Linked DNA regions of Oryzias latipes. Each later gene encodes a partner of the first gene's protein in a complex. Links are inferred from orthologs where the notes say so. Each region holds a gene or a part of one and is shown in the gene's direction. Other genes may lie near its edges.

What was found.
Region 2: the proteins of map3k3 (region 1) and ccm2 are in contact, whole or in part, in a crystal structure (PDB 4Y5O), measured with the Homo sapiens proteins. The link is inferred for Oryzias latipes from reciprocal best matches to the Homo sapiens genes MAP3K3 and CCM2. Residues at the interface, in NP_002392.2 of Homo sapiens: Asp2, Glu3, Gln4, Ala6, Leu7, Ser9, Ile10, Met11, Asn12, Asp13, Leu14, Val15, Ala16, Leu17, Glu50, Asp82, His84, Met86, Asn88, Glu89, Leu90, Ser91, Ile92, Leu93, Arg117, Leu119, Leu121, Ser122, Gln123, Asp124; in NP_113631.1 of Homo sapiens: Leu299, Tyr302, Met303, Leu306, Arg307, Ser312, Gln313, Ile315, Gln316, Gln317, Phe318, Ala319, Ala320, Leu321, Leu322, His323, Glu324, Arg326, Glu333, Ile336, Asn337, Gln340, Leu341, Leu353, Phe356, Pro358.

The regions. Positions count from the first base shown.
Region 1 is NC_019866.2:4,128,586-4,132,404, reverse strand, and holds part of map3k3 (mitogen-activated protein kinase kinase kinase 3), read left to right. Parts: intron 1-389; coding exon 390-430; intron 431-798; coding exon 799-898; intron 899-2,053; coding exon 2,054-2,167; intron 2,168-2,327; coding exon 2,328-2,448; intron 2,449-3,107; coding exon 3,108-3,241; intron 3,242-3,819. UniProt on the Homo sapiens protein: Component of a protein kinase signal transduction cascade. Mediates activation of the NF-kappa-B, AP1 and DDIT3 transcriptional regulators.
Region 2 is NC_019882.2:14,044,763-14,048,449, forward strand, and holds the end of ccm2 (cerebral cavernous malformations 2 protein), read left to right. Parts: intron 1-454; coding exon 455-591; intron 592-703; coding exon 704-839; intron 840-1,331; coding exon 1,332-1,389; intron 1,390-1,504; coding exon 1,505-1,640; intron 1,641-1,733; coding exon 1,734-1,872; intron 1,873-2,021; coding exon 2,022-2,326; 3' UTR 2,327-3,187; downstream 3,188-3,687. UniProt on the Homo sapiens protein: Component of the CCM signaling pathway which is a crucial regulator of heart and vessel formation and integrity. May act through the stabilization of endothelial cell junctions. May function as a scaffold protein for MAP2K3-MAP3K3 signaling.

The DNA.
Region 1 (3,819 bases):
AAATTAAGAAATGAGAAGTCATCCTATTGGTGAGCTTGAGAGTTTCTTGTAGTTTGTTGTCCTTGGATTAAACCAAGCGATGGGAATTCTGTGTTTCCGCTGTAGGTTAAGCCAAACGACACACGCTCTTTGCTTCGTATTTCCTTTTTCTCTGTCCGGAACCAGCTCCCTCACCGAACCGTCTCCAAAAAGGCAAATGCTTGTTTCTTGAATTGTAAACCCCATTTCCCCTGAAACGGATCGTTTTCTCCACTCTTCACATAAACTCAGTCACCCCAGTTGTTTTGAGTGGAACTGGGATCTCCTAAATGGTCTTTTGTGAGAAGCATCTTTAGTAAAAGCGATATATTGTACAGGAATGTCCTCATCCTCTGATTTCTCTCCCTCAGGATGATGTGAGGATAAAGTTTGAGTTCTCAGGGGAGAGGAGGTGAGTTTATTTGAGTTTTGTTTACACGGATGATGCATCCAAATGCAGTCCATGCACTCCTGAGAGATGTAAACACACAGGCATGCCGTTCTGGTCACACGTTCCAGCTCATGAGAGCGAGCGCACACTCCTGCAGTGAAACCAGATCGGTATGCGAGCTGCAGAAGGAAGAGGGAAAGGACTGTGGTTAGCATGCGGCTGCCAGCGCACACCACAAATATTTAAGGTGTACTTGAAAGAATCTGAACCCACCGAAAAGTGCAGCATGTGTGTTTTGCTTGCACGTGTGCATGTAATTCAAATGGCGTTTCCTCAGCAGCTGGTACAAATCTGCCATAATCTGTGGGAATTCTGCTCTTTTCATGCAGGATCCTGATGTTTGAAAGGCCTGTGCAGTTTGAGGAAATTCAGCAAAAAGTCAAGAGCGTGTTTGGTCAGCTGCTGGACCTGTATTATGTGAACAATGAGGTAAAGTGCTTTTCAGCATGTTCTCCGGCACTTTGGATTGTCTTTCACTTCTCCAAGCGCTCCACGTTCCTGTAAATTTGTCGTGTTTGCAAATGAGGCTGTCTTTTAGAAAACCAGTTAATCCAAAAACGTGGATGCTTAAAGGGACAAATAAAGAGAAAAAGGACATAAAATAAGAAGATGAAAAAAATACCGGGGCAAAGGAGTTGAGATGATGCAAAAACTAGACTCATGGAAGCTTCTTTTATTTGAAACTGGGTTAATGTAAGCAACCGCTCCTCATTTATGTATTCCATATTTTATCTAATTTGATCTCATTGTTTATCAGAGTGTTTTGGTGTCAAATATATCAATTTGTTGTCTTCATTAGAAAACTTATTTGTGCTGCTAAAAAACACAGTCATTTCTTTAAAAAATGAATTTCCCCTTCTAAAAAATAGGTTTCAAAGTATCATTTATTTGCAAATTATCTTTAAAGACAAGTACATCTAAAGGTTGAACCAATTGGTTGTTTTTTGTGCATGTTTTAAACCTTCGTTTTTATTCAATTGTTTGTGCTTTGTTAAATTCTTAAAGTTTTTACATGTGAATAAAAGATTTTTCTCGCTAAAAGGGTTCCTAGCATCTAAATTCTGATCAATTTTAACAGCGTTCCCAGAGTTTTTTAATGAGTAAGGATCAGTGAACTAGTGAACGACTAGTGATTTATTAAAAAGGAAGGGGTCCGGAGCAACCCCACCCCCATTCCCCTCCCTGTTGCTGAGAGCTCTCTGTTTACACGCGCTCTTGCTGGCTTACAGCCCTTCACACCTCCACTCTAACATTACCGGTGCAACAAAAGTGTCGAGCATTATTGTAGCGATCCAGTTTTGAGCCAGTTGGCAGCTCAGATGAGGAAAACGACGGAGCTTGTGGCCCACCTGCTGTGTTTTTTACGTTTTCAATTGGCGTTTTTTTTTTAATCATCTGCTCCTTTTTCACACCAATTAGAATAAAGAAATACTCAGAAATACAAATTTGAGGTTAATTCTTTTTATATGTGTCCATCATCAGGAAAATGCCATAAAAACACAATTTTCTGCCTCGTTTTATGAATTTTGTGTACAGATGCTTGTTTGTTTTATGAGTTTGCCTCCTTGGGTTGTTTCTTTGCAGATGTCCATTCCTTTAAGAGGTCAGGACGACTTGGACAAGGCCGTCGACTTGCTGGACCGAAGTTCCAACATGAAAAGCATCAGGATCCTGCTGCTCACTCAGGAGCACAGACATGTAAGACAGACTGGCCGTACGGTTGCAACACGCCGTTGCACCAACACCGTTTCTTCAGCACAAAGCCGCATTGTGTAAAAACACCACGCCTCTAATTCCCATCATCGTGATACTGTTGAGTCACACATGGAAGCTGGTTTTATCCCTGCGTCCTCCACAGGCCACCTCTCCCTCCCATCATGCACCTTGCAAGCAGGTGAGGATCAAGTCCTCCCAGTCCACTGGAGATGTCAGCACGTTGTACCAATCCTCTGAACCTAGGGGGCGCCACTTATCAACCGGTACATTCTCTTGAATACCTGTTTACCATCAATTCAAAGGGACTAATGTTGGTTGAATTAATCAAAGTTGTAGTTGTTTTTATGTTCATTTTATCATTTTTATTGTCTGTGATGCAAATAAATTCTGGTTGCACTCTTTCTTTCCTTTATTGCATCAGATTTTCTTCCTTTTTTTCTTCACTGTTACACTAAATCGTAGCAAATAGTTTTTAGTGTTTGATTCTTTAAAACCAGAAGTGCTGTTTAAAAAAAACTCCAAACTTCATTTTCTCTATATTCTGAGACTTGATTCTTTTCAAACAAAGGCTTTCCAAAGCATTTAACTCTTGTCGGTCCTTTAAAAAAATGAAGAATATCACAGTCAATGAAATTCCCACTTTCAAGTGTCACCTACCAACGGAAAAGTAAAGATGGAATCTATTTTGATTATTACAACCCTTTAAATGATTTGAGTTTTAAGAAAAAACATTCAAATAATTAAATGAAGTTAATCAGACAAACCATTTTATTCAAGCTGTTTTAATGAAATAAATAATAATTCCTATTTAAATCCCCTAAAAGGTTTTCAGAATAAAGACTAAGTAATTGATTCAAATCTTTTTTTATTGGTCTCATATGTGTTTTGAGTGATACTCATAGTACCGTCTGTGATCCTTCAGGGTCTCAGAACACTGGGCGAAGTTCTCCACCTCCTGGATATGTGCCTGAACGCCAGCAGAGGATCGCCCGCCAAGGTTCATACACCAGCATAAACAGCGAGGGGGAGTTCATACCCGAGACCAGTGACCAGTGTGTAAGTCCCACTGTCCCTTGAAATGGAGTACAGTGGAAATTTCAGCCATTGAGGGTAGTTTTTAGAATGCAACTCCCACAATGACAATCGAGAGACGACTGTAAAATAGTTTTTGCTTTTATTGTGAAAGTTTGTTCATGGGAAAAAAATGTGTTGTTTTTTTTTCGTACCCTCGCTGACTGGCTGAGTGTCTGTTTCAGGCCCCTCACTCTCCCCCCTCTTTCCCCCTAGTCAGATTTGCATGTGACAAATGGGGAATAAACAACACATTTTTGCAAAAAATGGCGGCTTTTCTGTTGGTTTCATCTTCATAGCAACCATTTTAGTTTTTTGGCTGCCTGGGGATGACAAACGGGTCTATGTCATTTCTGCCAAAGTAAACGTTGGAATTTCTTTGACAACAGAGATATATTTATCAACCATGACCACATTCCCCATATAGTCATATTGTATGCTATATCGTTTCATTGAGCTGGAGCCAGCGAGTCACGATTAAAATTTTCACAATATTCTGGTTAGAAAAAGTGTGCGAGCAACAGGGGAGCGGCACTTTTGCGAGCTCGCCATCTGAACACTGT
Region 2 (3,687 bases), on another chromosome or scaffold:
ATTATCCTTTTTTGTTACGAACTACAGATTAAACCACTTTAATATGATTACATTTGAGTGTAAAAATAAAAAATTGGACCTTCTGTGTAGCCCTTTAACCCCGTGCTGACGCTGTTTTGAGTACCGTAACTATTCAATTGTTATGGGGATTTCTTTCTCCACGTCAGAATCAGCGCATTCACGTTGATTGTGTGAACGATTGAAGAGCTACGGTTTGTCAAAGAGCGTGTGCTGTGTAGGCGTCGCCGGTGACATCTCTGGTGTTAAAGAGTCTTGTTCTGCTTGTATATTTTGTGCTTCTGTTGAACTGTTTAGCCTGTTACCTGGTGGTAATAGAATGGTTGTCTCATGATCCGAATTTCATCAATACTAATAAGCCCTTAAAACTGAGCTGAGTTTCATTTTTTTAATTTCTTTTTTAATTAATTAATTAATGTATTTTTCTTTAATGCAGCCCAGGATTCTGGAGGTTCTCCTTGTCCCAGTTCTTGTCCCGATCTCAACAAGTCCCAGACGCTAAGCTCGCTGTCGGAGAGTGGAGCCGTTTTGGTGGAAGTCTGCTGTCTGCTAGTGTTGGCAGTGGAGAATAAGGTTCTGTATTTAGGTCATACAGTTATTTTACACATTGTGTTGATGCATTAGGTGACATATTTCAGAAAACTGTGGTATATTTTAAATTCCTGGTCTTTTCTTTTTCTTCTAGGCTGCTGCAGAGGAGCTGTGTTTTCTGCTTAGTCAGGTTTTTCAGATCGTTTACACAGAATCAACCATTGACTTCTTGGACAGAGCCATTTTTGACGGAGCAACGACACCAACTAGACACCTGTCTTCATACAGTGGTACGCAGACGCAACAGCAAACCAGATTACAGTGGTCATTCGTTTATCGCAGGAGTTGTGTTCCAAAAATAACCGCCAATAGATGAAATTTGCAAACTACTCAGCTTTATTTTTTTTTACAAGAACTAGAGATGTATTAAGGCTGTAAAACCCCTTCCTTATACTCATTTTTAGTTTTCTTTCTTGTTTAAACTCTCAAAGTTCAAATCTTCATAGAAAAAAGGTCCAATGTTACAGAAAGAAACCAAAGATCTGCTCACAATTGATCATTTATGTAGTTTTAGCAAGCTGAATAAATTCTGTGCAGAAGACACGACACAGAGGAGTTTGATTGACAAGGACACTGAAAAAAAAAAACTAAAATAATCTGTGAGACCATGAAAGGTGAAGCAAGGGATCACTGTATCCTTTCTTCTCATTTTTTTCATTTTTTCACATTTAAGGTCAAATGAAGTCTGAAAATCTTACAACTTTATTTTGTGATTTTTAAAGATGACTCCTCGAGTAAAGTGGACGTTAAGGAGGGTTTCGACGCAGAAAACAGCACATTGTAAGTAGACTGAGCGGTGCTTTCTGCTTGAATTCTATTCAGATATTTATTCTCAGTTCTGTTCATCACTTTGCACAGTTTTTCTCGGTGTCTTTCTGAGGCTGCTTTCTCTCAGTCCGTTCCAGGTCAGTATGGATGCAGATGGAAACTCTCCGTCTGCATCCACCCCAGCATCCCCTCAGAAGAAGACGGCAAGTGAAGGAGAGCTCAGCACAACCGCCGCAGAGCTTTTGCAGGACTACATGACCACAGTACAGAAAGACTTTTTTTCTCTTTCTTGAAAACACTTAAAATAATCTTTAAAAAAAAAGGTATTCAACTGAAAATAACTTTTGTTTTTGTAGTTGCGGACAAAACTGTCGTCGCAGGAGATCCAACAGTTTGCAACTCTGCTCCACGAATACCGGAACGGGGCTTCGATTCACGAGTTCTGCATCAACCTGCGACAGCTCTATGGAGACAGCAGGAAATTCCTCCTACTGGGTAAAAAAACTGCATTACACCGACTTTCATCTTTTAAAACGATGGCAGAAACTGAAATGTGGATTCATAATGACCACAAAAATGACTATTAATAATTTACTGCATCATTTTTTCTGGTGAGATCTTGTGACCCTTTTCATTTCTTGTAGGTTTGCGCCCCTTCATACCTGAGAAGGACAGTCAGCACTTTGAGAACTTCCTGGAAACCATCGGCGTGAAAGACGGCAGAGGCATTATAACGGACAGCTTCGGTCGCTGCAAACGCACCGCCAGCTCCGCCTCTGATTCCACCACCAACGGGAACGGCGCGGCAGGAGGAACCGGCGGCAGCGCGTCCTCGGGGGAGGAGCAGGAGGCCTCCGAGGGCGACGAGTGGGACCGCATGATCACCAACATCAGCAACGACATTGAGGCCCTCGGCTGTAGCATGGACCAGGAGGCATTAGCGCCCTGATGGGGAGCAAAAGCGGGTCATTTTGCGTGGAGGCGTGGCCATTCCTGTAGGCATGAGAAAACCGGATCAGATGAAGGTGGTCCTTAGCACTGACCTCAAATTAGCTTAAACGTATATTCCTCTGTTTATCAAGAGGGCGTTCAAACTCCCCACAAACTCAAGGAAAACCTCAACTTGTTGCCATAGGTCAACAAACGCACTTATGCAGTCTGCGAGAAGCAGGAAGTTGACTCGTTCCGCATTTCAGGTGGATTCCTAAAGGATTTTCTTTTGGTTTTGTACTTCTTATTGGCAGCATCTGCCACCGCTTTTAGTAATGTAGCTGCAGCCAGTACAGCCCAGACTCCAGAGGATCCATCAGTGCACATATTTCAGAAGGTTATTACTGAAGTTTGTGATTCTGTTTTTTTATTTTATACTGCAATATATCAACCCGCTTCATCCATGTACTTCACTTTTGCGTTGTGAGTGTGTAACATGCTTTTTGTTTTTGTGTACTGCTCTGCTTTACACTAGCATTTGTTTATCAGTGTTTACTCCTCATTATACAAACTGACCAAGGAAATGCTGTAAAGACAAAAGCGTCACCAGTTATTTTTGACAAAGCCACTAATGACTGGCTGATGTTCAATCACGATTTGCTGGGTTTTGTCATGCAGACCGTTTGTTGTGCATCTATTGTGCCTTTTACACTGCAGCACTACTGCCAGCTGTCTGACAGACAGGGAATTAGAAACTGTAACTACAGTTGCTCCTCTTGTTACGGTTATTAAATAACAGATCGTTCACTGATTGTATTTTAGTATTGCAAATCTGCATTTATCTTAAAGTTGCATAAAACAAACGTTGCAGTCTCATAAATCTGTCTGCATTTTTTTTATTTTTTTTTTATTTACTTTACTAAAATAATCCCATTATGATCTTCTGAGCGCTTGGGTGCACCTAAGCTGCTGTGGAACTTAAGAGAGCCATCAAAGCGGTTCTGCTGGATGGCCTCAGTTCGGATTAACTGGTGAGTGTCGGCGACGGAATATTGGCGAGATGCTGAGCACATTCCGTTCTTGAAAAGCCTCTCAGTGGCGTGTTTATTTCACGTTCCCCTTTTCTCTGCTTTTTCACCTGTAAAAATCTAAACCAGGTCAAACTGAACCAAACTCGACAAACTGGGTTTGATAAGCTTTTTTTTTTTCTGCGGTGAAATCCACCTGCTTGTACTAAAAATACAGTCTGTAGATGCCCGTTTTTGGCCACTACGTCAAAGAATGAACTAAAAAAATGTAAATGTTTTTATGAAATCTACAAAAAAAAAGTGCTAATTATTTTTTCATGAAATATAGATAATATCACGGATGTCATGTTGG